Linked DNA regions of Drosophila melanogaster. The protein of the gene in region 3 interacts with the protein of the main gene of each other region in a pairwise test. Each region holds a gene or a part of one and is shown on either strand. Other genes may lie near its edges.

Region 1 (10,053 bases), 4.2 Mb from region 3:
AAATGTTGAGCCTAACTAAATCTTATTTCATTCGCCCTCCTCGTCCTTCATCATCTGCTCAATGAGTCTCTTACGTTCCTCAGCTTGGCGCAGCTTTCGCATGACCAGGTCCTCGTAGTCGGTGGATGACGCACTGCACCCAGTGGTGGCCGATTTGGTTGTCTGCTTGTCTGCCGCCGGCGGCGTTACCCACTCGAAGTGCAGCGGCTTGGCGGGATCGCCTTTTTCGTAGGCCAAGACCATGTCGCAGGCTTCGCGCGTGGCCAGCTCCACCATGGCGCGTCCGCGTCGCTTGCTGTTGACCACCAGGGCCACCACGTCGCCGTACTTCTTCAGATACTTGAGCAGCTCTTGCTGTGTGTAATCCTGGCCAGGTTCGGCCTTCCACTTCATCTTGATGCGATGCTGGGCGGAATCAAACTGGACCGGCTGTTGCTGCAGTTTCTGTTGCTCCGCGTGATTCCGCCGGAACTGCTCCTGCATGGCTCGCTGCTCCTCCTCCAGCAGACGGGAGCCCTCGCGTCGCAACCGCTCGATCTGCTCATGCAGCACCTCCTCGTCGCTTTTGGCCACCGTGCTGTAGGGTTGGCTCTTCGCCAGTTTGTGCAGTGCCGCCCGTTCACGTTCCTCCAGTTCCAGCTTCAGCTTCTGCCGCTTCCCGTCCAGTTGGCGACTCCTCAGCTCCGCCGCCTTCTTGGCCTTCAGCACTTTGTCATAAGCTGCGCGCGCGGATTCATCCGTGAGGATCTCCAGAGCCTTGGACAACTCATGGAAGCGCTCGACTGCCTTCGGATTGTCCGGATTCTTGTCGGGATGGCACTCGAGGGCCTTCTTGCGGTACGCCTTGCGTATCTCATTTTGATCAGACTCGAGAGAAATGCCCAGAAGATCGTAAAGATTCACGTCACTGTACTTTTTGCTAGCCATTTAGTCTTATTTTACTCCTTATTCAACAACTGGAACATGGGTTTGTTTTGCAGTTTGTCTTTTTTGGGCAAAAGTTAGCTAAAATATACTATTTTATACGAGACTTATTTCACAACTGCAGCCGGCGGTCCAAAAATGTCCAAATAAAACATTTGCAATTGTTTACTGGATCAGCTGTTCGCTGCAACGAGTTGGCAGCCCCGCAACACAACGTGCCCATTTGTTTGGCGTGGATTAATCTAAGTTATCGCAAAAAAAACTCAAATATAATATGACCTTTAGGCGCTGAATTAAGCTGAAGGTACGTCATGAGCATCTATCACGACGAGGTGGAGATCGAGGACTTCGAGTACGACGAGGAGGAGGAGATGTACTACTATCCCTGTCCATGCGGCGATCGATTTCAGATCTCCAAGGTAACGAGTCGTATACGCAACCTTTTTTTTTCTGGACTCCCCATATCACTTGGTAAATTTCCACTTTAGGAGGAGCTAATCGAGGGCGAGGAGGTGGCCACCTGTCCCAGCTGCTCCCTAGTCATCAAGGTCATATACGATCCGGTAAGTGACTCATTCAGAAATACACCTAGAACTCCCCAGAAAACTCAAGCAATCTGATTTTCCGAATTTCAGGAGATGTTCAAAGCTGAGGAGGATGAAGAAAGTGCGCTGAACGAGAAGCTCGGCGACCTGAAGCTCGAGAAGAACTAACACACAGTTTGGTGTAATTAAATAGTTTTTATTTATATATTTTTATATATATATAGACTTCATTTTAGTGTAAATAATACGATGACTAGTAAAACAATGATTTCAAATTATGCAAGCTCGCAAAAACAGTTTCGATTCGTTATGGATTATTCGTTTTGGGTGAATTACAAAGGATTTATACACACATTCTAGAATATCTAAAACTAAAACACTCATATTGCACCGAGTACACTTTGTTATATATGTTTTACAAGCGCGGAGGACAACAATATGATGATAATCGAACGAAAATTTGGAAACACAAACAAGTTAAAGGAACGTCAGCGTACCAGCTGTGGAAATGTGAGTAGTACAGCGAGTTACATACAATGGAAAGCGGTTGGAAAAATATATAAATAACATACACCTACCACTCTCACTTTCTGCTTACGGCTTAGGAATTCGACTTAAACTTAGCACGAAAATATTGTTATGGTTCGCCATGCAGTGTTTCTGTCCACTGCATCGCATACTGAATCATCTCTGCCACCGATCTTTTCCTTTTTCTTTTAGAGAGCGTGCTCGTTCAGCAAATGAGTGGAGGTGGACGACGTGTCCCGATCTCCTCCAATATACGCGCCTAAGTGCTTCGCGAGTGAAAGGGACGAACTGCGTCTACTCGATCTACTGCTCCAGCCAGGATCCAGTGACGGCATTGGGTGACTTAAGCTGCGGGCCACAAGAGGAGAAGTGAAAAAGTGAATGTGCGAACGAAGTTTAATGGGAGCACTCTGCTCCCATGTTTCCATGCTCACTCACCTTTATGTTGAACTGCTTCAGAGTGCTCTCCAGTGCCATGGCATTGCCCGAGAAGTAGGCAGCGATGGCATTGTGCAGCAGAATCAATTGCTTGTGCATCACTTTAATCTATCGACGGATAAACGGATTGGATCAATGGTTAGTCTCGCTAAATGCATAGGTAAGATCCATTTGGCACCACTTACGCGATTCTCGTCGAGAAATTGCATTTTGACGGCCACGTCCGAGCGCAGCTTCTCATATTGCTCCTTGTGCTGCGCATAGCTGCGCTGGGTCTCCTCAAGAGCGACGGCCGAGGGCGTCAGCTCCGGCTTGGTGTTCTCCAAATCCATGCGGTAGGCATCGAATTCGATTCTAAAAGGCAGGAGGACATTACTTCTACTACATATAATTCTCATGCCTTTTTATGAAACATACGATGGCTTTAGGAAATAAAAACTTATTGCCATTGTAGAGATTATCATGGAATGCGGTTATGACTAATTGATCCAACGTATTTAAATTTTTTCAAGGAAATAATACGATAAGCAATGTTTCAAGCTTGTATACAAGGCTAGTTTAAAATGCATTTCTGATAAGAGCTGTGTGGCACAACACTTTTTATAAAAAGCCACACACATGCTGAGTTTAAATTAAAATCGAAGAGATCGATGATGATTTTTCCTTCGTTGTTGCACGACAATGAAAGGATATAGCTTTGGTTACCTGGCCGTTTCGTACTGTCGTATCGTCAGCAGCGTATCGTCGATCGTCTTGTTGCACAGTGTGTTCACCGACGAAATAAAGAAGTTGAGCGCATTAAGCAGCAGCTCGCCGTTCTTGGTGAGATTGCGCTGCGTCTCCGAATTGCACGTGAACTCTTTCTGCAGCTCGGGGTTCTTCTGGGCCAGATCGGCGAAGGAGTCGGCCAGGGCGTGCTGTGTGACGACCACGTGCTGGAAGTGCGAACTAAAGGCCCGCGTTAGCCTCAAGATGGACAGATACTTGCGCTGCGTCTCGCGCAACTGCTCTATCTGGGCCTCCAGTTCCGAGTCCACGGTCCGCTGCGACTTGCCCAACTTCTCCAGCATTATCTGTCGCGTACACTTGTACGTCGATATACTCCAGTTCTTGAGACTGTCGATCTTGGAGGCGCTAGTGCGTATAATGCTGCCGCTCCCGCTGTCCGTGGGGCTCAGGATGCCGTTACCGGATGGTGGACTACTGGGCGACATGGGTGTGGTGGGTGCTGCACGAAAAGATCGATGCTGAGTCAGTTGGTCGCTAAATCGAGGACTCGTAAATAGTTCACCTGAATGGTTTCTTAGTGGCAGGCTGCTGGGGGCGCCAAAGGGGCCGCCGACACCAACTCCAACGTTGCCGCCACCACCTCCTCCGCCGGCGATGCTGTGGCTGCTGGCGCTTCCAAGGATCCCGCTGCCGCCTTCGGTGCCCGTGTGCACCGCTCCGCAGCTGTCGTTCAGCGAGGGCGCATCCTTCAGCATTTCGTGAATGCTGCGCTCGCGGTCCGTCATAGCTATGGCCGTCGTTAAGTTAACCGCCCGTCTCACCGAGTAATTGCCAGCGGAAAATCCTCCTGTCTGCCCGTTTTGTGTGGGGGTGTGCCCGATTAGGTGTCTGTGTGTGTGTTTCTCGGGCAACGGCGCTGGAGGTTTCACTTCGATTTCCACGCCGAAATCGATGGCGCACGCTGGGCGAGTCGAGACTTTAGTAACCCCTGCCTGGACTCGTCAAAATTCTCAAATCCCTAAAATTCCGCATAAAGTTCATCAAACTGTGTTCACGAACTGAAAATCGGTGTGACTGTGCGCGAGTAGGTGGTTAAATGCCACACTTGGACTGCTTGGATACCGGCTGTGCGACACGGTATTTTAAAGGCGGAACGGTGGAGTTTGGAACACGGGGAAGTCCTGTCCTGCAGGTCAAGTCGGTGGGACGTGGTTTGGCGGGACAGTGACTGCTGCGAGGACTCTCCTCTGCGGCACCAGCATTAATTTTTAATTCATTTTCATATATATTCTTGATCATGATCAATAGGCCAGTTGATGTGGCCAAGCAATTCTATTTGGATTTTCAGTGCCGACCAGTTGCGGTCCCACTAAAGTGGAAATTTGATTTAATTTTTGGGGATTTCATGGAAAATCTCTACTTATTTCTATTTCCACGTTACTTAGGCCAATAGCCAGCGGAAAATGGTCTACGTGAATCTAATAATAGGCTTGGGCCTGGTGTCCGTTGCCGCTTTCGCCTATTTCAATTGGCATAACGACCGCAGTTCGCCTTACTCCAGGTGGGTGCTATTAAATGAGCGTCGAATCGTGGGCAGGTTGGTGCCTTGCGATTCAAAGCTAAAATGTTGGCTTAAATCCCTTGTTTCATTGCAGGTCGCCGAATGGCAGGTGCACCTTTTGCCAGTATGAACTGAGTGATGACGACCGGCGCCGCATGAGGTGTGGACATGCCATGCACAATCTCTGCTACTTGGTGTTTCGCTATTCCCATAGAAAGTGCCTCGAGTGCGATAAGGTGGTTAATGTCAATATAGCCGGTGACTTGTGCACGATTTGTTTAGATCCCCTAAGTGTTTACACCATGGTGTATCTGCGCTGCAGCCACGCCTTGCATGAGAAGTGCCTCCACCAGTACCAGGCTAATGGTGGCCGCCACTGTCCGGTCTGCAGAATGGGAATTAAGGAGTAGGTATCACCTAGTGATCATGCAGCCAGGCAAAGCCATATATCAGCATAAGCGTGCACTTAATGCAAGGCTCAACGAATTTTATATATAACATTAAGTCGAGAGCAAAGAAGTCTGATTAAGATTTTAGTTCTGAAACGAATAAAAGTTAGATTTCTTAAAAGATGCCGATTTCAACCAAATTGTTGTTTAAAATGAAAGAAAAGTATTGGATGCGTCTATGCTTTTTCAAAAAAAAAAAAAATAATACAATTTTATATTTTTGTTTTGAATTGTTCAAATATCGTTTAGCCAGTGTGTACACACCACGCACATGCACTTAGTAAACAGACAACAGCTGATGTGCATCTTCATTATCTCGCTTGCCATTCACTTGAATGTAATGCATCACAATAATGTTGAGTTTTAAAAAACCTTTTTAAATATCGTTTGGTTTGCTCAAAATGTCTGAGTTGCGATCGATTTGCCGAACTTGTGGCAAAAATGTGACCAATTTGCAGGGTCGGGCTACCAAACTGTTCAACAAAAGCAACTATCACTTTATTAGTATACTGGAAAATATCACCGATATGTATGTATGTAAGTGAATAAAACTAAAGTATGCTGTCTATTTAATTGATTTAAATGATTGTTTAGCTCGAATTTGACACCACTCTGCCACATCTAATTTGCCAATGTTGCAAAGTGCAGCTGGACAGGATCTTAACATTTCGCAATAAGTGCTTGGAGGTCCACAAGTCTTTTATGGCCGCTAACAGGAAACTTTTGCGAAAAAAGGCGATAGTTGATGAGGAACTCGATAAACCGGATGTTGAGAAGCTACAGCAGGATTTGTGGGACCACACGGATCAGGAAATGTGTGTAGCAATGGCAGATACAGCTGGGCTTCTGCGGGAAGATCACAATGATAATGAGAAGGCGAAGGACGCAGAAGATGCGACTCAGAATGAGAAGAATCAGGAGGAACAAGTACAAGTACAAACAGAGGAGGTGGAGCACTGTCAAGAGCAGCTCCATAACATGTCCATCATCTCGAAGGGAGTAAGTGCCCGTGTCCCCAAGCGTACGAAGCGCAACTCCAAGTCCTGGTTCTGTGACCAGTGCGGCGGCGTCTTCAAGTCCTCTACCTACCTCAAACTGCACCTGCAGCGACACAGCGGTCACAAACCGTTCGCGTGCGACATCTGCCAGGCCAAGTACTACACGGATAACGAGATGCGGCGCCACAGAATCCTTCACACGGACGCCAGACCGTACGCTTGTCGGTTCTGTAGCAAGACCTACCGAGGATGCAGCAGTAAAGTGGTCCACGAGCGGACCCACACCAACGAGCGTCCCTTTCAGTGCCAGCATTGCGACAAGGCCTTCACCTCCACGTCGACGCGTCAAAAACATGAGATGCTGCACACTAATCAGCGGAAGTACCAGTAAGTAGGAGCACTAGCTGTCCTCCGTAAAATATGTGCAAACTGACTGTATTTTCCAGCTGCGAGATCTGTGACCAGTGGTTCCTGCGCTCATCCCATTTGACCCTACATCAAAGCACTAAATTACACCAGCGAAGAGCTGAAAGTGCTAGGATTGTCTAGAATTCATGTGGACTGCTGAAAGTACAAGTTTATTATAAGATTCCTAAATTGAACAAATTGATTCTATTTTTGATTTGATGGTTCTAAAAGAAGAAATAATCAAAATGTACACCTGTGACATCAAAGGTTTTCGACTTTTCGCTCTGCAGATACAATGGTTTATTTCTTGAAAAAAACTTGTAACAACAAATTGAGATTTTGAAAATCGGCGGAATGGCCGCGTTGCTGGGCGAATGTCAATTCGAAATCGACTATGCGTGGGGCTGAGAAATGCGAATGCCGCTTTTCTTGTTCTTCCGTCCAAACAAACCGAAAAAGATACACTTCCAATCGATCGGGGTGCTGCGTTATCTCATTACACAAGCCATGAGGTACATTTGCAGGACCTGTTCTCGTATGGCTGATCCTGCGGTAGCCAAGAATCTCTTCGATCCATCGAGTTCTTCCGTTTTGCGTCAAATAGAGACTCTAACTAACTTGCAGGTGAGTGCGTTAGCGTTTTGCGAAAATAAAAACCGAATAAATGCCGCGATCTGTAATCACTTTGCAGCTAAAAGAGGACGGCAAGTTGCCCAGGTTCATGTGCCAGGACTGCCAGCACGACCTGCAGATTGCCATCGATTTCCGCCGCGTTTGCATCGAGGCCCAGGAGCTCCTTGAACTTCAGCTAAGGCAGGTGGAAAAGGAGGAGGAGGCGTTCGAGAGCCTGGCGGAGCAATGGCTGGATGATTGTCCGGATGAGTTGTCCAACTTGTCGCCAGTGCTACAGCTGAATGATCGCATGGATTTTATCTTCGATCCCGAGCCACAGGATAAGAATACGGATGAGTTGGCTTCCATAAAGACCACGACAACAACAGAGTATATGAATGCATACCAGTCAGTGGCCAGTCCGCAATCTTCTCCAGAACTTTCAACAGATAGCCAGTTGTCGAATGAGCACTTTGACATGGGCCTCTCTCCCGAATCAGAACCCGAAAGTGAAGCTATCGATAATCGGGACACTTCCTCCAGCCACACGTGCAGCAAGTGTGGCCTCGAATTCGAAAACGTGGACGAACTGAAGCTGCACAAATACCATCTGCACGACATCCCGCCAGATACCAAGTAAATAATCATATTTTAGAGGCATGCTTGCATGATTTTCCCATATTATTCGTTCGAAACTTGTAGAAATCCTAAAAGATCTGAAGACGTTCCGTCAGGGCACAAAATATGTTTAGTTTACATTGCTAAATTGGCTATTAGCTAGCTCTCACATTCATTCCGTATTAATTGTCTTTTGTTTTAATTTTTATTTAATTTTAGAACGATTTTCCATTTTATACGTGCTGCTCTGATTGGAATTAAGGAATCCTTTAAACCCTATCACTGAATGACTAGAACAACTTATTCACAGTATGAGAGAACCTACCAATCAATTGCCACAATTAACACTTTAATTATCCTTGTAGATTCGTCTGTGACCACTGTGACGAGGGCTTCCGATCAGCAGCCGCACTTACGCGGCACTGCAACATGATTAATCTTCCATTGACGGTAATGATTCCATCTAAAATGTTCAATACCTTTCATAAAGGATTGTATTTTGAAACATTTTTTTTGCAGCACTCCTGCACCAAGTGCAAGAGCCAATTCCACAATCACATTCTGCTGGAGACTCACAAACAGCGGTGTCTCAGGCCGCCGGCGTCCCAGCATGTGTGCCACATATGTGGCAAGCATCTGACCACGGCCTTTAATCTGAAGAATCACCTGGTTCGCCACGCGGGCACACGACGCCACAAATGCGACCAGTGCAGCGCATCCTTTTATACAGCCGCCGAACTCTGTTCCCATCAGAAAACCCACACAACCGAGCGTCCCTACATCTGTCGCTACAACTGTGGCAAAACCTTTCGCTTTTGCAGCGCCCGCAGCATGCATGAAAGGTAGAATTTCAGACGAATCTCCACCGTCACTTAGCCCACCATCCCCACTTACGTGACCCTTCCAATATATTCCGCAGGGTTCACATGGACGCCAGCAAGCGTATCTACCAGTGCGAGTACTGCCCCAAGTCGTATGTAACACCCAGCGAGTGCAGGACACATCAAAAGTATCACAACTTGACTCGCGATCACGGGTACGACTTCCTCCCAGTTCTTAAGTATTTGCAGAGAATGCAAATTAGAAGGATTTCCATTATTCGCAACTAAATAACGAATCTATCTTGCATGTCAAACGTATTTTTTGTTTTATATGCAAAAAACGATTGTGTGCCTATATATTCCTATAAAATATCAGCAGTACTCTGTTGAATATGATATGCTGCAGTTCAATGTAATCAAATTACTTTTTTGAAGCCTCATGCTAATGAGTAAAACATTTTTTTCACCCCCAATCTCTTCCAGCTGCGAAATCTGCCGCATAAGCTTCAAGACAGCCAAACACTACAGATCCCATCTGAAGTCCAATGCCCACAAAACTCTGGAGGCGCGTGCTAAAGCTGCTGCATCCCCCAATTCCCGTGGAAGAAATTGTTCAACGAATTGAATTCATTATTGCCAGTTGCATGTTAATTATATATACCGAATTGATATTAATAAAGCTTCCGTTCCGCGTTCATGTTTAAGATCCCAGCATCTACTATCACCTACATCGTCTGTGTGTTCTCGATGACCTTCTCGTTGTCGTAGATCTCCTTGGCGTAGCACAGATTGGGGTAGTCGTAGGCAGCTCCATATCGGTTCTTGCAGCCGGTGGTTGCCTTCTCTCCCGGAGTGTAGACAGGCTGACCCACAATGTTCGATGTGGCGAAGTTGCAGGTGAGTACGAAGTGGTTGTAAAAGTCCCGGGAGAAGCGCACGGCCGCACATCCCACATGGGTGTTCTTCTCGGCCACCGCGATGGTGAACTTGGTCACCGCCTTGTTGGGAAGCTCCTCCGGGAAGCTGGCGAGGATCTCGGGAGATGCATTCGAGCGCTCAGCAAACCAGTTCTCGATCTGCTCCTTTATTATTTCCGCATCGGTGTACTCTGTCTCGGCTCCGCTGTACTGGAACAAGGCGTTGTTCTGGCCGGCGTAGGCGAATCTCTCGGTGCTGCGACATTTATCTGGCAGGGACTCACAGGTCTTTACGTTCAGCAAGGCCAGATGGGAGAGCTCCTCGCACCAGGACATCTTGGCCATGCGAACAGCCTTGGGTAGTCCTTCTATTTTGCCTCCAGCCACGTTGTTGCGCAGCTCGTTGAAGAGATTGAGGATGAGTTTGTGATGCGGCTCGATCTTCACCTCACGCACGTCCTTGGGACAATTTTCACTGAAATTCTGGGCGAGAATGGGTGAGCAC
Region 2 (12,183 bases), on a different chromosome or scaffold from region 3:
GATTTTCAAATAATCTAGCATTATCTTCAATTGTCAAACCACTTGCATCGACCGCTTCATCGTCTATTTCCACCACGTTGCAAGCAAACCAAACATTATTCATGATCTGGTTGCTTTTGAGCGTTGGTCGTGCTTTTCTGCAGTTTGGCGCTCGTTTATCATTCATGTTTCTGCATTGAGACTTTGTTCCTCGACTCTGTTTGCTCAGCAAATGTTGTGGTGGAGTTCCAGCGGGCTTTGAGTGGGAGGCTCCACGGGAGGCCAGCTGGGAGGCGTCACCGTGGCTCGAACTCAGCTCAACTGAAGCGTTTTAATTGCTGCATAAATATTAGCTTAAAATTAGCTCATTGTGCACTGGATAGCGTTCAGCTCAAGTTGAGATTCAAACTCTATCGCGGGCCTGTATGCCTGTATAGATATCCGAGTTTCGGTTTCTGTGTGTGTGTGTGTGTGTGTGTGTCTTGCTACAGTCAATTACCACATATTTGTCTATAATTAATAAGCTCTTCCCATGGGGCCCCAGATTTGTCCCGCTGCAGCTAAGGCTTTAAGCAAACAGCAATCACTTCTAGCGAATCTTCAGTCGTCTGCGAAGTTTCCCTTATTCAATTTGGTAGTTTGTGCTGGAGTTCCCTCTTTCAGAACTTCTGACGCAACTCTTGCAGTTGAACAACTCTCGCAGTACGTTCGATTTTCGTTCGTTTATTTATTTATGCCATTTGCTGCACAATCCTCTCAATTTTCCCCTCCGCAGGTAATAGCTTTGTGTTTGCCCTTGTCTATTTTTTTTACGTTCAAATTAATTTGAGCTGCACGAAAAGAGTGCATAGTTGTTCATGTATGCATCATGATGGCATAGGAGGGGTAATGCCAGTTCACGTGCAAAATGTAACATTCGAAACCACTTTAAAAACCGAAAACCACGAAAATTGCATGGTTGCCCCCCGGAATTTGTGGAAATTTTCCAGTATTAGGCACAAGTACCCTAATACTGGGTACACACACATTATAAATTTGTAGTCCAACTAAAAATGAGTATTCACTCATCATTCACATCCTGGAAAATTCACATAGATATCTCGAGTTGGGTCTACAAACATTCTTTGACTTGTTAGACTCCTGTAAATGCATGAATACAGCAATGATTATGCAAATCTTTAAGAACGTATCACTTTAAGGACCTTCACACGCTACTTTGGGTGTCTTTTTTCGAAATGCACTGCATCTGCTTGGAATGCAACATTGACACTCCCCTTCATCCGCCGCCCACTTGGGCTTGTCAATCAAGACGATACTCTTCCTTCGTTAGGGGAGCTTTCTTCGACACTTTGTGAGATGTTCGTGCTGCAAGGACACGCTAAACGTATGCAAATCATTATGTTAATCGGGTACCATCAAATTTTTTGGCGTCATTCATCACACTGAGCCACACTTTGCACTTGGTAATAGCAGCTTCTCACTCGCCCGCTCCATTATCCCCTTCTCTCCAGCAGCTTTCAGCCCCTCCTTTCGTAGTAGTAGCCCATTCCCAAACCCTTTCCAACATCCTTCTGGACCACTGCTTGCTTTGCTCTTGCTGCTGCTTAACGCCCGCGTGGCTAAGCCAAAATTTACACAGGCACAGCGAGTTTGGTCGTCAAGGATGCTTGGTTATGCTGAAATTTGCACTTTTCCGACACACACACACACATGCAGTGAAAGGCACACACACACACACAAGGATATACACACATGTACTAGCAGCAGCATAAGTAAACAAGTTTAGTATAATCAACGGTTGGCTGCCTGCCGGGCTATACAAAAAAGTGTTGCACATCGGCTTACAAAATCCACACCCGCAACGAAGCCAACCTGCTCCCCCCACCCCCCCCCCCTCTTCCCTTCATGAGCATGTAGATGACGTAGTATATGTTTTTATTAGCATGCTTTGTATGCCCTGTACGCTGTCAGGCTCACGAGCAAGTCGGGGCTGGGCTGCATTTATCAGCGGAATGGGGGCAGGGGTTTTGGGCAGGATTCACCTGTCTCACGGCGCTCGTAAAACCACATTACCTGTGATTTCCGAACACAGGATGGCTTGTTCATCAGCGTTGCAGTCGAGCACGGGCACGAGGACGTAGCGATTGGGAACGGGATATCTGCCGGTGGCCCTTTGGCGCCATTGTGCCACGTTCATTGAATGTTTTTCTATTAATTTTTTATTGAATGATGCTTTTGCCCCACCACACAGCATACTTCCACGCAGGTTGGGAGTGGCTCATTCCCTGCGGCGGCATGCTAACTTTATTCAATTCCTTCGCTGCTCATGTGGAACACACACTCGATGTACCTCTCAACCTGTCCCTCTCTAACTGCATCCAGCGCTCCCTTTCTATCTTAGTTACATTCTCTATTTTCAGCCGGACAAGAGAAAGCTGTGTAATGTGGCTGAAAAATTGCTAGTACTCAGGATGCAACCTAGTCGAAGGAATGGCCATTAAGTACACTCGAGGCACAGATACCCTTGAATTGGATTAGGATTTAGGATTTAAACATGCAAATTCTAATAATACAAGCCATAAATTTAAATAAAATACCAAATTGTTCACTTTTCTCAAAGTTTATTAAGTCACAAACTTGTTAACTTTTCTGTGGTGGCTTGTGTTCAAATAAAACATCATATGATTAACAGCAAAGGGATCAAAGACTCGTATTAAATAAAATGTTTTCCCTATGGTATCTTTGGTAATCTCTTTGGTATCTCCCAGCTCCGTACACTCTATCTGTACCCCTAAACTCCCGCTGATAGGGCAACAAATGATCAACATGATGTGAAACATTTTGCTAGTTCCTTAAACTGAACAAAAGAAGACGAGTTGGGGGGCAAGTGGGGTCTGGCAAGCAAGAGTTCGGCAAGCTGGTTAAGCCTGGCATGCCACTCCATTTGGAAGACGGTTTTTTTTTACGGTTCGCCACAAGCTCATAAAAAACCTCCAAAATGGGTGACACACAAAGGAGTCGCACATGCACACACACAGCCACACCTTCACTTACATGAAGGCAATGAAATAAACAAAGCCGCAAAAGACACGAAAACCTCAGTGGAGCGAGAGAGATGGGCACATGGTGTGCGAAAGAGAGGGAGAGATGTTTCAGGAGAAAGAGACAGATGGTAAGCAAATTGCTGAGGAGTCCAAAAGCCGGACCGACGTCAAAATTATCGAGCAGCAGGTGTGCTCTTCTCCGTTTTCCCCATTTTTCTTTTTTTTCTCTTTCTCACTCTCATTGTGCCTCTCTCTTTCGCACATACTGACCCTCTCTTTCGCACACAGCCACTGGCATTATTGCTTTTGTGGCTTTTCGGTAAATATTTTGCATAAAATATCAATTTGATATGCAAACGGGCGAATATGTGAAAACGTGCGACTGCAATGACTACTCAGACTCTATGAAATTTAAATAAAAATCTGCAAGTGTAAATTTAATTAATTACTGAACATGTTTTTCAAACATAACTCTTTGTATTCACAATTGGCCGGAGGCCAACATATGTACATAGCTCGCTCTAAATAACGTTGCATAACTTTTGTAGCCGCAACTTTGAACAAGTCAGCTACGAATATCCTTCGGAAAAATGCAAATGATGGTTATTAAAATTCCAGGAAAAGGTCTTTATTTGGCACACCCACTCTAGATTAATTGAGAGCAGTTAAGGTGACATTAAGCCGAACCCAAAGGCAAAGAACCCAAAATGCAAATCGGGGGGAAAAAACGCTTGGAGATAATGTGGCCTGGCAAATGGCTATTTCACTCGATTTCGTCTAGTCCCGGCGATAAATTTCGAAAGCAGATTTACTTGTTGATTTCCCACGTAATTGAATTACTCGCGAATAAAGTGCGGACCAAATGGGTCCCGACATTTTCCTCCCAGAGGGCAAACAAATTGGGAAAAAAAAGGATTTTTGGGGCCAGCCCAAAAATTAATTTCATTTTGGTGTATTTACAGGGAATTTTTACGCTAACTTTTTGGTACAAAATACACAAATTTAAAAGGAATTTAAAAGGAAAAATGCTTTGCTCTAGCCCAAATGTCAAGGCTACAGAAAAAATTATATCTATCACAACTTGTTCATAATCATAACCCTTGCGGTCTTGTATAAGAACATGCCATTGTCCAGTCAGGCATTTAAATGTTAAAGTGAAAATAAATAGATAGATAACCAAATAGAATGTAAACAAATAGGTAAACAACGTGTCGCACCACTTCCACTTGTGTTGGGTATTTATTTGTTAATACGATATTTACGCCCCCCTAAATGGAAATGGGAAAATTTCCAATCAAAACAGCACAGCCAGTGTGGTAGTGGTAACCGTGTCACGTAGCCTGTTAACGGATGAAATAAATATTTCAGGCACAATTTCAGGGGCGGCAACGGCATCCACTTAGCTTTCTTTTTTTTCTTTTTTTTTTTGCCCCCAGTGGCTGCTATAAAAGTTGGTGCAACAACGAAATCCGGTTGAAAGACCAACATGGACGCCAGCTACTTTGCCGTCCAGAGAAGAGCTCTGGAAATAGTTGGATTCGATCCCAGTACTCCGCAACTGAGTCTGAAACATCCCATCTGGGCCGGGATTCTCATCCTGTCCTTGATCTCTCACAACTGGCCCATGGTAGTCTATGCCCTGCAGGATCTCTCCGACTTGACCCGTCTGACGGACAACTTTGCGGTGTTTATGCAAGGATCACAGAGCACCTTCAAGTTCCTGGTCATGATGGCGAAACGAAGGCGCATTGGATCGTTGATTCACCGTTTGCATAAGCTAAACCAGGCGGCCAGTGCCACGCCCAATCACCTGGAGAAGATCGAGAGGGAAAACCAACTGGATAGGTATGTCGCCAGGTCCTTTAGAAATGCCGCCTACGGAGTGATTTGTGCCTCGGCCATAGCGCCCATGTTGCTTGGCCTGTGGGGATATGTGGAGACGGGTGTATTTACCCCGACCACACCCATGGAGTTCAACTTCTGGCTGGACGAGCGAAAGCCTCACTTTTATTGGCCCATCTACGTTTGGGGCGTACTGGGCGTGGCAGCTGCCGCCTGGTTGGCCATTGCAACGGACACCCTGTTCTCCTGGCTGACTCACAATGTGGTGATTCAGTTCCAACTACTGGAGCTTGTTCTCGAAGAGAAGGATCTGAATGGCGGAGACTCTCGCCTGACCGGGTTTGTTAGTCGTCATCGTATAGCTCTGGATTTGGCCAAGGAACTAAGTTCGATTTTCGGGGAGATCGTCTTTGTGAAATACATGCTCAGTTACCTGCAACTCTGCATGTTGGCCTTTCGCTTCAGCCGCAGTGGCTGGAGTGCCCAGGTGCCATTTAGAGCCACCTTCCTAGTGGCCATCATCATCCAACTGAGTTCGTATTGCTATGGAGGCGAGTATATAAAGCAGCAAAGTTTGGCCATCGCACAAGCCGTTTATGGTCAAATCAATTGGCCAGAAATGACGCCAAAGAAAAGAAGACTCTGGCAAATGGTGATCATGAGGGCGCAGCGACCGGCTAAGATTTTTGGATTCATGTTCGTTGTGGACTTGCCACTGCTGCTTTGGGTGGGTTTTTAGTAATGGATTATTAAGGCATACTTAAGATATTATATCTTGCAGGTCATCAGAACTGCGGGCTCATTTCTGGCCATGCTTAGGACTTTCGAGCGTTAGCCCATCAAATCGAAGCTTGAGAATAGTTACCTCTTAATGAACAAAAATGATTATAATTTCTTAATCAATCAATAATCTTTAATAGTCGAGTACATTTATTTGGAAATATTCATGGGCAAGCGATCCAAACATCCACAACCCAACTCCAATCAGTTGCCATTTGGACGAGCATGTTTTTGACGGGCTCAGCTGCCCCGAAGGGATCTCATGCCCCAGGTTGATGCCACTGCAGGCAGATGGAGGAGCATATGAAATTCATGAGGGCATTCCACAAAGGCAGCTAGCGAAGCCAGCTCATGCGTGTGGCCATGATGTCAGTCGTGTGTGCATATGGGTACTCGTATGTATTGTATGTATATAGATGTATACACCAGGTAGTCGGAATTTGTTAGTATGAAAGTACGAAAGTATGCAACATCAGCAGCATCGTTCAGGTGGGGAACAAGTTGCTGAAAAATAGCTACTCAAACTATGTGCACCATGCTGCTTGCCAGCCAATGGCCTCGGGCTCCTTTTTCGACTCAGCCCGGGTCTTGAGCTAGTTTCGGGGCTTCGGGATCAGGATCAGGTGGAATGCGGACCTAAGAACCCTGCCCTTATCCTTCGTGCCTTGCGGAATGTTGCCTGCTACGGAATTTCTGGCTTGATGTTGCCGAGATTCGAATTCAGTCGGAGGCTAAGTCGCTTGAACGGAATTTGTTTTATTAAATTTTACAACTCGGTATTTTGCACATGCAAAATGGACTCAGTATTTCGGACTCCGTGCACCACCGTTTTACCAAAAAGCTGTGACAAATTGTGCGGGCGTGGAAGCCAGGCACCTCGGATTATGTTACAAATTACGACAGCGCTATTGCGGGCATAATTAATTTTTGTCTCTGACATTTGATTTATTGGTCTGCGTTGGTCAGCATCTTTGGCTTGACTTCGAAAAAACAAATGAGCAGCGATTAATAAGCGCGAATCGCTCCTGGCCATTACGCACCTGCGGCACAAACAGCCAACAAAATTCGAGCATCAACCTGCCACAGCTAGCTGGGTTTGCTGGGCGGTATAACTTTACAGCAAATTGTGGCCAAGATAAGAGCGGATGGCCAAGAGCCACAAGCTGAAAATAGTGGTGAAAAAAATCACCATTTTATGTGTATTAAAAATGTGAACAAAAACGAACAGGAGCGAGCACAGATTTTGTTTGCGGTTCGTTGAGCACACAATAATTCCATCAGCATCAGTGGCAGTAGGAAAAGTGGGCGTGGCAGGCGTGTGTGGGCGGTGGGGTAGAGATAAAAGTGCTGGCAGCACTTTCGCTGCATTGCTTTTTTTGTTTTTTTGCAGTTGTTGCGGTGTATTGTGTGGGCAGTGCCACGAGGCGAATGGTTAATAATCGAACAAAAAGGTCCTTAAAGCTGTCGCGCAGTGAGCAAACGTTTATGCAAAGTAAATTGATATGCAAACTGCAAATTTCAATGGCAATTCAAACTTAAATGTCCTAATGCAGTTTTATCTTTGTAAAACAAAATGGTGGCCAGCTGGTAGTTTCCCGCAAGCATTACCCCAGGGCTTATGGTTTGCATTTAACCAACAAAAAATCTAACCTAAAGTTTTACAACAAAATTGATTTTTCAATTTCAAAATGAATTGCCTGAAATGAAGAAAACAAAAACTATCAGTATTTTAATGCGAAAATTGAAATGCCAAGCTTAAATCAAGTTCGCAATGCGGAAAAGTGGCCAAACACTTATTCAATTCACCCGAAGTGGAAATTCAAATTTTCGAACACAAATGCTAATTCAAATTAAATGGAAAAACCCAGCCGTTTTCACGGTAATTCCACCTCTTTGGCCACCGGAAAATAGGAAGCACAAAAAATGTCCCACTTTAATCGGGCTTGTGTTTGCCAAAGCTATATTTTCATCTGTATATATGTACAATATAAATGTATAACATATATTTTTCGGTTAAGCATACAAGGCGGCTGTGCAGGGCCTTGATGAAACTTTTCTAATTAAAATTGTGCGGCTTGTTGAAAGGTTTTTCCAACGGCGAGGGGCCGGCGAAGGGCGGGCGCGGAGATAGCCAGTTTTAATAGAAATTACATTAATTAATATTTAAAATATGCTTAAATACACATTCCTATGCATTAATTAATACGGGCTGGCGGCACACATACAGCGAGTAAACAATGAAACGTGACTGGAACTAACAACGAATTGCGCCATAAGCCAAACGTTGGCAGGCAGGCACTCCAACTCCAGGACTAAACGGAGATTTGACTAATTACAGCACGCCCCCTAATTTCTTGTTTATTTGGTTAAATTTAATTTCAAATGCCACAAATGCGACAATCGAGCTGAGCCATGGGGCAAACAGTAGCGGTGATTACAATGTTTTATTGACTGTTTTTACCCACATAATTGCCACAGATTTGGACATTGTCCAAATCGACTTGTTTTCCCCTCGAGACGAGACGAGTCTCCCCACTTCCGAAATCGCTTCTCCCAGTCGCTATTTTCGTCTCCTCAGCTCAGTTTGGAAACTTTGATTTACGCCACCCGTTCCTAACCCACTTTTATGGGACTTTGTGTGACCCATTTGAACATTTGGCTTGCAGCGGCTCCCTTGCGAGGATGTGGATGGGAATGTGGATGCCACATGCATGACAAGCACTTATGCAAATTATATGGCGCACTTATGTGCGGGCAGAGGATTCGACTTTATTTGTCGGAATTTCGATGGGATTTTCAGCAGCAAAATTAAAATAAAACATAAATGTATAACAAACTTTCACTAAGTGCAAGCGGGTTCAAGCGAATAATGGTCATAATTTTTTTGCGAGATAAAATATTAATACTGAACTCGACCAGAAATAGTGAATTCTAAAATGATTCCATATATGTCATATAGAAACATATTAGGCTAATTAGTTGTTAAAATTATACGTCGAATGAATCATTCAGAACCATTATTCGGTTTTTTTTTGTTCTGGACATTGATTCACACGACTATATGTTTTCCTTTTTAAATGTAATTCATACTTTTAAGCTAAACAAATAAATAGACGCCCAAAGTTGCAAGAAAAAAAAAAAAAAATAATTTAAAAATTTAACAAACACATAAATATTTGCAAGCACACAGGAAAACGATTGGTTAAACACAAATTTTTCACATGTTTGGAACCAGAACATTCTGGGCAGAAATCAATCAACATATTTGCACTCTTTCGAAAGAACGTTCTGCACTTAAAAGCATATCAAAATTGAAATTTCAGTAGGAGCAGAGCGCGAATGGTAATTAAAAACCGAAAATGTTTTTCGCCTTCTTCCTGGAATGTCATTAAATAATCAGCATGGCGGCTATCATTATCCGTCATTCGCAACCAAATACAATAATTAATGATGCCACAGAGCCCGCCCAAATTGCAATTACCTTATGCATAATTAAATTATAATTCATTAGACATGAGCCCTTGCTGTCTAAATCACAGCACTTAAATATTACCAATGCGAAAAACCATCTCGATACGTAATCAAATGAGACTAAATCAATAGGCTTAAAATGGGTCTTTAGCCCCTACAACATTTTTTAAGCACTTTATAACGAGCAAATTTTTCTAAAGGGGGTCTTGACTCGACTCATTTGGGTAAATCAACTCGATGGCAACTCGATGCTGAGATGCACAGATAAAAATGGTATTGTGATTATACAACATTTAGACGGGTAGTTAAGGGGCGAAGCTGGATGATATGGAAATTGCAAATGCCATTGTTTGTGCCGAAGTGGGACTGTGAATGTGAAATTGTTTAGAGGCGACGCGCGACAAGAAAATCGCAGAGCAATGGGCGGGGGAAATGTTTGAAAAATGACTTTTCTTCGGCACTGAGAATCCGCTCGGCAATGAGTCTGCCATTTTCTTGTTGCAATGTCGCATGAGCTGGTGATTTCTTTTGTGTACATATATTGTGTGTATTGCTTATTGGGTGTGGATTTGAAAATGTGTACTTTATAATGCGAATTCAATTATTTTGGCAAAATCGGTTTTGTTTTTCTTGTGTACATTACAATTTTGGGATCCACTCCGGCCTTTGGGTTCGCCTTCGTCGACCTCATTTTCCTTTCTTCGTTCGTAGGGCTCGTCCTTTTTCCCAGCCGTCTTACAGGATATTTTCAATTTTTGCGGCAGGATATTGCCGTTGCTTTATTTGCCGTGTGCGCTTACTGTTTTAATTATCTTGCCTGATTTGATTTTCCATTCTTTTTTAATTAATTTCGTTTGAGCATAGTTTATTTATTTATGCGTTTTATGGGCGATTTTCAGCATTCGATTTCCACGCGCTTGTTGGTTTTTGCTTGTTTTTTCTTTGCTGGCGAAACCTTTTTAATCATTTGTTTTACAAAAATGTTTGCGGCTGTTTTTTCCCGTTGGTGTTTTCGGTTGTAATGATATTTGTTTTTTTTATTTATATTTGTTTTATTCGGTTGTATTTTTTTATTTACTAATAAAATGCATGTAAGTCAGTCCGTCGTTTCAACATTTTTGTGTCTTGTATATTTTGTTTGTTTGCTGCAATAAAACCATGAGCACTTAAGTTCGAAACTCGATACTGGACCATCGACTATTTTGGCAGCCAGCCGAGGGCAAGCAATCGAAAACCAATTATCGTGCGAAAGTGGCAGCCAGCCGTGAATGTTGCTCATGTTGCAACAACTGGGGGGAACAACAAGTGCATGTTGCACTTGCTGAGGACAGCCGCACCCACCAAGCTGCCACGCCTATTTCGCCACGACAATCCGCTAACCATTTGCACTTGGCCGCCACCGTTTCACGCACTTGCTGCTCGAGAGTACACACACTAAACTGGTGGCTTAAGTCGGGGGATTCTAAATATATATATATTTAACGATTGAACTTTCGAATATTTTCTCGAATACTTTCTAAATGTTCTTCAGCCCGATTTCGAAACGTTCCAAGTCCCAGGCGTGCACAGCGCTCGGCGCTCAAAGGAAAAGACAACTTGATCACAGCATGGAAAATGTTCAACTGACCGAGTGGCTAGCCTGTAGACCAGCAGAGAAGCTGCGGCTTTATCAGTTCGTGGCTCGCATCGCTCGGCCATCGGACCGTTCGGCAAGCTCGTCCTTCGGCTCGGCACGCAGGACTCGCGTCGCAGCTTCGTGACTCGTGCGGCGTGCGTCGTGCCACGAGGTTCGTTGTTCGGGCCGTGTTCGCGGTCGTGTCCTGGGCTCGGGAAGCAACATGTTGGAGCCGCAGCATCCTTGCTGCTCCTGGCCCTCGAAAATCTCAATTTCGAGCGCAACTCACTCGTCCTGTGGCGTCACGTGTTGCTTTTGCTGGCATTGAGACTTGGAGCTTCGAGTGAAAGCTGCGTTTGTTTTGCTCGCCTACGCCCAACGAGTGGGTCTCCCGCTCCACTACGCCGCGCCGCACCGCGGATTCCCAAGGAAGCTTCCGTCCCGATGACGATGATGAGGTGCGTCCTCGTTCCCGAACATTGGATATCCTTCGCAGCGGAAATTATATATGACGAGATATGTATTACTTTGCCATCGAACAAAGGGAATGCGCTTCGCTTCGCATTGCTTTGCTTTTCTACAGCCGCTTGCTCAGCTTTGCATTTGCTGATTGGGGACGGCTGCGTTTTTTGGCACTGTAAAATCCCAAATAAGAAGACTTTACTCGTTGAGTTTTTGTAAGAAACTTGATTTTATTTGGAAATATCTTCGGTTTAAATAGGTGACATGAGAATCGCATCTTAAAGTAAATGGCCTACGCAGAGGCCTACGTAAATAGTCCCCGCCTTATCGAGGTCCCACGCTCGGGCACATCTGCCTATCTTGAGCGGCGAGGACCTTATCTGTGGTCTCCCACTAAGGGACTATTTTAGGAGGCGGGGAACGATCTCAAGTGACTGACTCATGTAGTGTGCACTTAAATTACATGTTTTTGAGCAATGCACCCATGTCGCCTTAGATAACAAAATCCTAAATATAATTTATCGCTCTCGATTCATTTACATAAGATATGAACGGAGCCCAAAATTGTAAGTCTTTAAATATATTCGTGTTCATGTGTGAACATTCTGCCAAAGGGCCAGCAAAGCTGAGATGTACATTAGTATATTAGTTGCATTTATAACAGTAGTGGACTGTATTTATTTGATATATGTTCATTTATTTTGCAACTAAGATTTCAATGGGCCTAGTTTTTCTGGCTTTTAATTTTATTGGATTACAATTATGGTTTATATTATTTTTAATTCAACAATTTGTACTCAATTAACTTATTTTAAACATTTTGCTTTTTCTATGTAGAAGTACATTTTCTATTAGTGGACTGTATATTTTTATTTGTTATATTATTTTATTGTTTATTTACTATTGATATTTATAGTACTGGCAACGGACCTGCAAAGGTTATTGCTTGCATTCTTTGTTGCACAGCACATTTCCGTATGAAATATATTA
Region 3 (7,215 bases):
TTGTTCGTTTTACTTTTCAAGTACTAATGGTACAGTGTGACCAAGGGTCACGTTTGCGTTTAAATAATTATTTTTAAAATACTGAAACTCGCGGGCACTGTGGGCCACTTCTGCGTAACTGTTCCTAAAAAACAAAATAAAACGGTTATGGTTGTATTTATAATAAAAGCACAAGAGAATGCTATAGTCGAGTTCACAGATACCAGTTAGTGTAAATGCGAACACGAAATTTCAACATTTTTCTGGGAGGGATCTAATATCTAGGGGAATAAAATGAGCAAAAATTTTTCAATTGCGTCTTTAGGGCGTTAGAGCGGCGTGGTAAAAAGTTTTTCGGCAAATCGATAGAAATTTACAAGGCTAATAGAATTTTGAAAAAATTCGAAGAATTGTTCAAAAGTTTGAGCGTGGCGTTTTTTACGGCTTGAGAACGTAAGAGTGGGCGTGGCAACATGGTCTATGTCTCTAGAGGCTGTATGCTGAATCTGAACCTTCTCGCTTTTATAGTTCCTGAGATCTCCACGGACATGGCTAGATCGACTCGTCTATTGTTCCTAATCAAGAATATATATACTTTATATAGTCGGAAGCACTTCCTTCTAGTTGTTAGATACTTTTCAACGAATCTAGTATACCCTCTTACTCTACAAGTAACGGGTATAACTAGGCTGTATCCCAATCAAGAAATTTGTATTTCCATTTGAGATTTTCGGATTAGATTAAGATTAAGTTGTTTATAAGCTAAATGTTGAAAATTTTCTTCAAAATTAAAATTTAATTTTTTTTTTTTAATTTGAAATGCTACCAGCTCATCTAAAGAAGCCTCACAACTCCTGCAAGCAGAGCTACGCTGGTTTCTTCTTTGGAAAATTAATGTCAACGCCCTGAAATCTGCGCAAATAACTTTTGCATTAAGAAGAGATGACTGCCCACAAAGTAATTGCATAAAGTACCTTGGCTTGCACCTCGATCCCAGACTAACGTGAAAAAACACATAAAAGCAAAGCGCCAGCAACTAAATCTAAAAAGTTTGAAGATGACCTGGTTGCTGGTTGCCGAAAATCTGCAACCACTCTGGAAAATAAAGTCCGTTTATACAAAGCCATACTAAACTTATACCAGCAATTCAAATATTTAGATTCTACAACGCTACCAATCAAAAATATTAAGACAAATTGTTGATGCTCAATTTTTATTTCAAATGCAAGTATCCATAAAGACTTAGGAATCCCTTATGTTAAAGAAGAAATAGCAAAACATATTAAAAAATATATAGACAGACTAAGAACACATGAAAATAACTTAGCCTTAAGTTTGGTAAAACGTAATAACAACGTCAGAAGACTTAAAAGATTTTACGTGCTAGACCTCCCTGACAGGTTTTAAGTATTAAAACATGTTATGCCTAGAGTATGTAGTAGGGATTAATGGATAACTACTGCCTCTGTTAATATAAGATTAATTATAAAATGTACTTATTGTCATACTTTTTTAAGACAGATTGTAAATAAAAAGAGAGAAAAAAAAAACTTAGATGGGAGGTAATCATTCCAAATAATTTTCCAAGATCATAGTCATTTTAATCACAACATTTAATCACAACATTATTATAATCACATATTTATTATGGTTCTAAACATTTTCAAAAGTGGATATTTCCCATATTATTAGGATATTTCGTGAATATGAATTATAATAATTTTTAATGTTATGTTATATTTTATGTTTATATAATTTCCGTATTTACCCTATTTCGCCGTTTCATTTTCGTTGACAACTCGTTGTCGTCGTTATCTTGACGCACACCGTTATTCAACACTTTTTTCCTCTGAACCAATATGGCGATTGTGTAGATCTGTGTGCGTCGTTTTTGCAAAGTTTTGTGAAATTCCACGCGCTCCTCCTTAAAAAAAAAACGCTTTAAACACATTCTTCAGTAGCAAGCAGAGACCCAATCTTTCCCTTGACTTTAAACGATCTCCAAGTAGTCAATACAGCACGCAATAAGCAAGATGGTGGACAAAATTGAAATGAGCCTCGACGACATCATTAAGTCCACACGCTCGCAAAAAAAGCCGCAAGCCGCCCGCGGCGGACCAGGTGGCGCCCGAAAAACGGGCGGACAGCAGCGTTTTGCTGGTGGAGCCCGCCGCGGCGGAGCCAATGCCGGCGGCTCGCCCAGGAAGCCAGGAAGCGTGCTCAAGGGCCCGCGAGGAGGAGTGGCCGCCGGAGCCGTTCAGAAGGCCAAGTTCCCACGGGTAATTCATTGCGTTTCAATGGCCAAACGGAGCAGCCGGAGCAGACCATCCCCGTGCTCAGTTCACCAGGACAGAGCACTACCAAAGCAAGTGTCTTGCGGCCCATGATCCGCACAACAGTGCTTGGAAGCGAAAAACAGACTCAGAATCTAAACCAAAATCAAAATGGCCACCATGCGCCTTCCAACGGACGGAACAACTCTTCGAGCCCGAGCAGAGCCTCAAGTTCAAGTTCCTTTAACCCCGTTTTTACAGAATACCAAACAGACGACACCTGTGTCTTAACTTATTTTTCCTCACGTCTCACGCCTCACGTTTTCCACGTGAACCATACCCAGTTAACAAGCATTTCTAGTGTCTCCGCTCAATATGGCTGTCCTCTCTTGTGGCTAGGATACGATGCAACTGCTACTGCAACGGCTACTCCCGCCACATACATATAGTTGATACGCGCAGCGTTCGAAGACATACCCATCTACCTTCTACCTAATACTACCCCCACCTCTAGGGCGATGTGAACAGCGCTTGGAAGCACGATATGTACGACGGACCGAAGAGGGGTGCCGTCGGTGGAGGATCTGGACCCACCCGCCTCATCGTCGGTAACCTGGACTACGGCGTATCCAACACGGACATCAAGGAGCTCTTCAACGACTTTGGTCCGATAAAGAAGGCGGCAGTGCACTACGATCGCTCCGGTCGCTCGTTGGGTAAGTGCTAGTACTACTCCAGCTACCTGTCGTTAGGTGAAACATTTCGGTACATGCTGTTCATAAAATGGCGGCAGAATGGTTCAGTAACAGACATTCCAAGTAATATAAATCGGCTTGAATTGATAACAGATCAGATCATCCGATGAAGCTGCGGTTTTTATTTAGTATTTTGATTTATGCCGAAATTTAAAGCTATTGCCATGTATTTGATTTATTCACTTTTCTTTGCAGGCACCGCTGACGTGATTTTCGAACGTCGCGCCGACGCCTTGAAGGCCATTAAACAGTACCATGGCGTACCTTTGGACGGACGCCCTATGACCATTCAGCTGGCCGTCTCAGACGTGGCCGTGTTGACCCGTCCCGTAGCCGCCACCGATGTCAAGCGTCGCGTGGGTGGTACTGCACCAACTTCATTCAAGCGTGGTGGTGCGTATCCAAAATGCTACAGCAGGGACCGTGAATGATGCCCATTTTCGTTTATTTTTACCACAAACATCGTTCATTTAAAACTATTTCAGATCAATTTTGGATCTATCCCCATTCCCACAAAGATTTTTAAATGCCTATTTATTTCGATTACCTAGTATGTCTTAGGTTTCAAATTTTGTTACTTGACTTTTTATACGAAATACTTTCCTTTCTTTGTTATGTTTTCTTGTCAACAGCTTTTGTAATTATTCAAACTTTTGTTTCGATTTAATACGATGTTTGTTGGGTAAACTACGTTACTAGGTCAGTTCCACATATGAAAGCTTACCTTTCTATAATGACCATGATACGGTCCCATGACGATCCATCCTTGCTCCAATGCTTACACTATCATTCCGAACTGTTTTTTAGGTGGCCAAGCTGGTGGCACGGCGCGTCGCGGCTTCAAACGTCCGGTCGGTGGCAAGCCGGCGGCAGGCGGCCAGCGACGGGAGCGCAAGGCCCCGCCCACTGCTGAGGAGCTGGACGCCGAACTGGACTCATACATCAACGACATGAAGATCTAAATAGTGAATAGTCTGAATTAGTCTAACAAGAATAGAAGAGCAGCCCAATCTATAGTTTTAAGCCTACCATATGGACACCCCCCGCATGGTACATAAATGCAAACGCATCGACAACGCCGCGCCCAGGAGCAGATCTTTGAAAGCATCGGACATCAAATCAATCAACCACTTGCGCATTTATCCATTAATTGTTAGTTTTGCCAATGCGGCGGATGTTAAGATAACTGAAATACATTTGATGCTGTATTTATTGTATTTAGAAATGCGCTTTATCAAGTTCGACGATAAATTGATGGACCTTGTCAAATTAAACTGAATTGTAATAAATACTAGAATTAATTTCGTGACCAAATCGAATTGTATTTACTGACTCAATAGGCTAGGAGTATTGTTTAATTACTAGGCGGCGGCGGACTCCGAAGAATCTCCATCAACTTGCAAAAATAAAAGAGCCATCACTTACAATTAAATGTTTTATTTGGAGTAATACATCGATGGTTATATTGGTATTCGTTTGGACGAATTTTACAGACTATAAGAAGATTCGATTGGACACTTTAAGTACAAATGCTAAATTAGGCTTAGTAGGTGGTAGATTTTAGCAAAGTCAATCCATATCATCCGTATTTGTGGGGCGGAATCACGAGTTACTTAATTTCAACAATTTCGTTAGACATTTTAAACCTGTTACTTAGACAATAGAACAAATGTGGGACATGAAAATGAAAGGGCGAAAGGAAGAACGACTTGGAGTGCTGCTTGGCAAAATATAATCAGTTTCCCTTCTTCTTCGGCTGATCAGCAGGTTAATATAGGTAATGCGCCTCTAAATATAGGTGTATACGTATGTTATAAGCGAGTTATGTATATTTATAGTTTTATGATTCTTATGTCGGTCTGAGGATGTGATGGTGAGTCATTAAATGCTTGGCAGCTGCTTCTGCTCCCGGGCACACTTCCTTCCCTCCTTCCTCCCTCTACCAGAATCCGCCCGACGAGAATCCGCCGGGTGGAACTCGGCCGCGTGCCTCTCCATTTGTGGCCGCTGGTTTGTTCGCCGGCTCCTTGGGCTGGCTGGGTGGGGCGGACTTGGCCTCCTCCTTCTGGATGGAGACCTCTTCGCGAATTTTCTCCACCACCTTGTTGGGATCCGTGGAGCCCATGCAGGCATTGAGGTTTGAGGAGTTCTGTTGGTTGTACTTGGCACGCGGGGCGGGAACGGCCACGTCGGGCTCCGAGAAGATATTGGTGTGTCCGCCGCCTGGGGGCTTCAGCACTCGGCTGGAGGGACGGGCACTGGTGGTCAGGCCGATTTTCAGCTCGGTGGATGTCATTTTGTCGCTGCTGGTTGTGGTTTCAGTGACTGCAATGCATAACAATGAAAAGTGAATCAGATGCGGTCGGAAATACGAGTACCCTAGACTACAAATTCAGTCACGCCACTTGCGGATGTGACGCCCGGCACAATGACGCCCGTCATCCGACATCACCCCACCACTGGCAAATCTTGGCGAAGTGGAGTGAAAACGAGAGACCCATTTGTTCTGCCCTTCTGCCACCTTATCGACGGTTTCTCTACACACATATGTATGTATGTATGTATATAGAAACTCATCTATTTTTCTTGCTGCGCTGCCCTCAACTTTTTAACTTTGCCGTTAACTGTAATTGCGCGTTTTGTGGCTGTCGCACTTTCGTTGTTGTTTTTGCCATTGTTCATTTCTCCGTTTTTGTGTTAGGCGTTCGCACAGTGGGCTCAAAAAGTGCGTTTGGGCATTGACCATTGACTACAGTTCAAACAATAAAGTCCTTTGGTGATATAAAGTGCCAATAGTCAGAGTGGTCAATTAAGAAACTAATTAAGTTAATAGAAAGTGGGTTATATGTATATATGAAAATAATATGCTTTACATATCATCTATAAAACACACTTCCTCGCATCCAAGATGCAAATGACAAATATTAGTTTCGTAATGATTTTTTGCCTCGCTTATGGCGGAAAAGAGGTCGCCTCCCAGGCGATGACATCTGAGGCAAGTGCGGTGAAGAAGCATTTGTAATGATGCGTCATCCGCTGGGGGAGGCACATTCCGCCCAACTCCCGCCTGGGGTGTATCCCATTTGGGGTGGCTGTTGGCGACAACAACAAACACAGGCCACACACACTGGCAATTTTGTTGGGGTACGGGAAAACAAAGCAATGTGAATGACCGCACCGAGTCAAAGATCTCTAGATTAGAAGGCTCACAAGCGATTTCGATTCCCACAGTTGAACGCTTTCCACCTGGGCAAAAAACACTACCAACGTACTGCACAGAACAAAATACGGTCGCATCTAAATTTATTATGATGAATCGAATGGATATCTAAAATTTTATTTACATAACTAAAACAACACCAAAGAGAGAGAGATAGATATAAGGCGTAACAATGAAAACAAATTAGCTGGCAAAAAATGACATCGTACAAGCATTTTCTCTCAGTGCAGAAAGGCAATAACAGAGACTGATTGCCGTGTTCCCTTTCCACTGTACTTGTTGTTTTTGCTTCCCTAGGGCGATTGCCGGCTCTCACACACACACATCTGCATGCATACGAGAATCACATTAACTGTGCTTTCTACTTGTATTGGTGCTGAAATTATGAGTAATGAGCAATCTGGTTAAAACTCGAAATTTCGGCCTGCTGCCATCGCCGCGACTTGTTGACCAAGTGAATGTTTATGGCCAAAACACATTAGACAAATCCAGTTTCGGCAGACCTACTTAAAACGTATCATCGATTAGACTAAAAACGGCGATGCACACGGAAACTGGCCGACCAGAAAGCGAAGTAAACAACAGCCACTTCAAGAGCAGGCTACTGAGATTCGGTTCAAACTGCTTTCGGTTAGTTTTTCGTACCTAGGTGCATGCAATAATCGCCTGACTAAAGCGAAGCACTCAGAACCCGAACAATATGGCCGCCCAAAAGGAGCGGCAGCCGGAGATTGCCCCGTCGTGGGCCATAGCCCAAAAGACCGAGCCACAAACCGGGAATCTTCCACTTCCACAGAGGATGTGTTATTTATAATGCATATGGCAGCTGTGCTAAATAAAATTCAAAAGCAGCTGCACTCACACAAACGCACGCACACACAGACAGCGCTTGCGCTCGGTGTACGAAATTCCATGACACAAGTGAAAAGTGTTGGTCTGCGAAAATATTGATTTATCTCGCAAACCCGCTGTCAACCAACTATCTGTG

Evidence for each region.
Region 1: the proteins of Ref1 (region 3) and CG31441 interact in a two-hybrid assay, tested with the Drosophila melanogaster proteins (one large-scale study listed by BioGRID).
Region 2: the proteins of Ref1 (region 3) and Or45a interact in a two-hybrid assay, tested with the Drosophila melanogaster proteins (one large-scale study listed by BioGRID).

The regions. Positions count from the first base shown.
Region 1 is NT_033777.3:11,230,782-11,240,834, forward strand, and holds CG31441 (uncharacterized protein), read left to right. Parts: upstream 1-5,504; 5' UTR 5,505-5,575; coding exon 5,576-5,707; coding exon of another isoform or gene 5,708-5,711; intron 5,712-5,768; coding exon 5,769-6,559; intron 6,560-6,618; coding exon 6,619-6,721; 3' UTR 6,722-6,843; downstream 6,844-10,053. Other genes in the region: CG17187 (uncharacterized protein), read right to left, coding at 28-927; Dph3 (diphthamide biosynthesis 3), read left to right, coding at 1,236-1,343, 1,413-1,487, 1,560-1,637; Arfip (arfaptin), read right to left, coding at 2,301-2,345, 2,436-2,543, 2,621-2,789, 3,141-3,663, 3,727-3,949; CG17721 (uncharacterized protein), read left to right, coding at 4,628-4,761, 4,820-5,135; CG31388 (uncharacterized protein), read left to right, coding at 7,088-7,204, 7,272-7,828, 8,176-8,260, 8,330-8,652, 8,730-8,846, 9,115-9,256; scpr-B (SCP-containing protein B), read right to left, coding at 9,357-10,031.
Region 2 is NT_033778.4:9,340,913-9,353,095, forward strand, and holds Or45a (odorant receptor 45a), read left to right. Parts: upstream 1-4,436; 5' UTR 4,437-4,509; coding exon 4,510-5,592; intron 5,593-5,646; coding exon 5,647-5,700; 3' UTR 5,701-7,951; downstream 7,952-12,183. UniProt on the Drosophila melanogaster protein: Odorant receptor which mediates acceptance or avoidance behavior, depending on its substrates. The odorant receptor repertoire encodes a large collection of odor stimuli that vary widely in identity, intensity, and duration.
Region 3 is NT_033777.3:7,075,007-7,082,221, reverse strand, and holds Ref1 (RNA and export factor binding protein 1), read left to right. Parts: upstream 1-1,834; 5' UTR 1,835-2,012; coding exon 2,013-2,258; intron 2,259-2,766; coding exon 2,767-2,968; intron 2,969-3,202; coding exon 3,203-3,400; intron 3,401-3,814; coding exon 3,815-3,969; 3' UTR 3,970-4,318; downstream 4,319-7,215. Other genes in the region: CG1943 (uncharacterized protein), read right to left, coding at 4,947-5,303.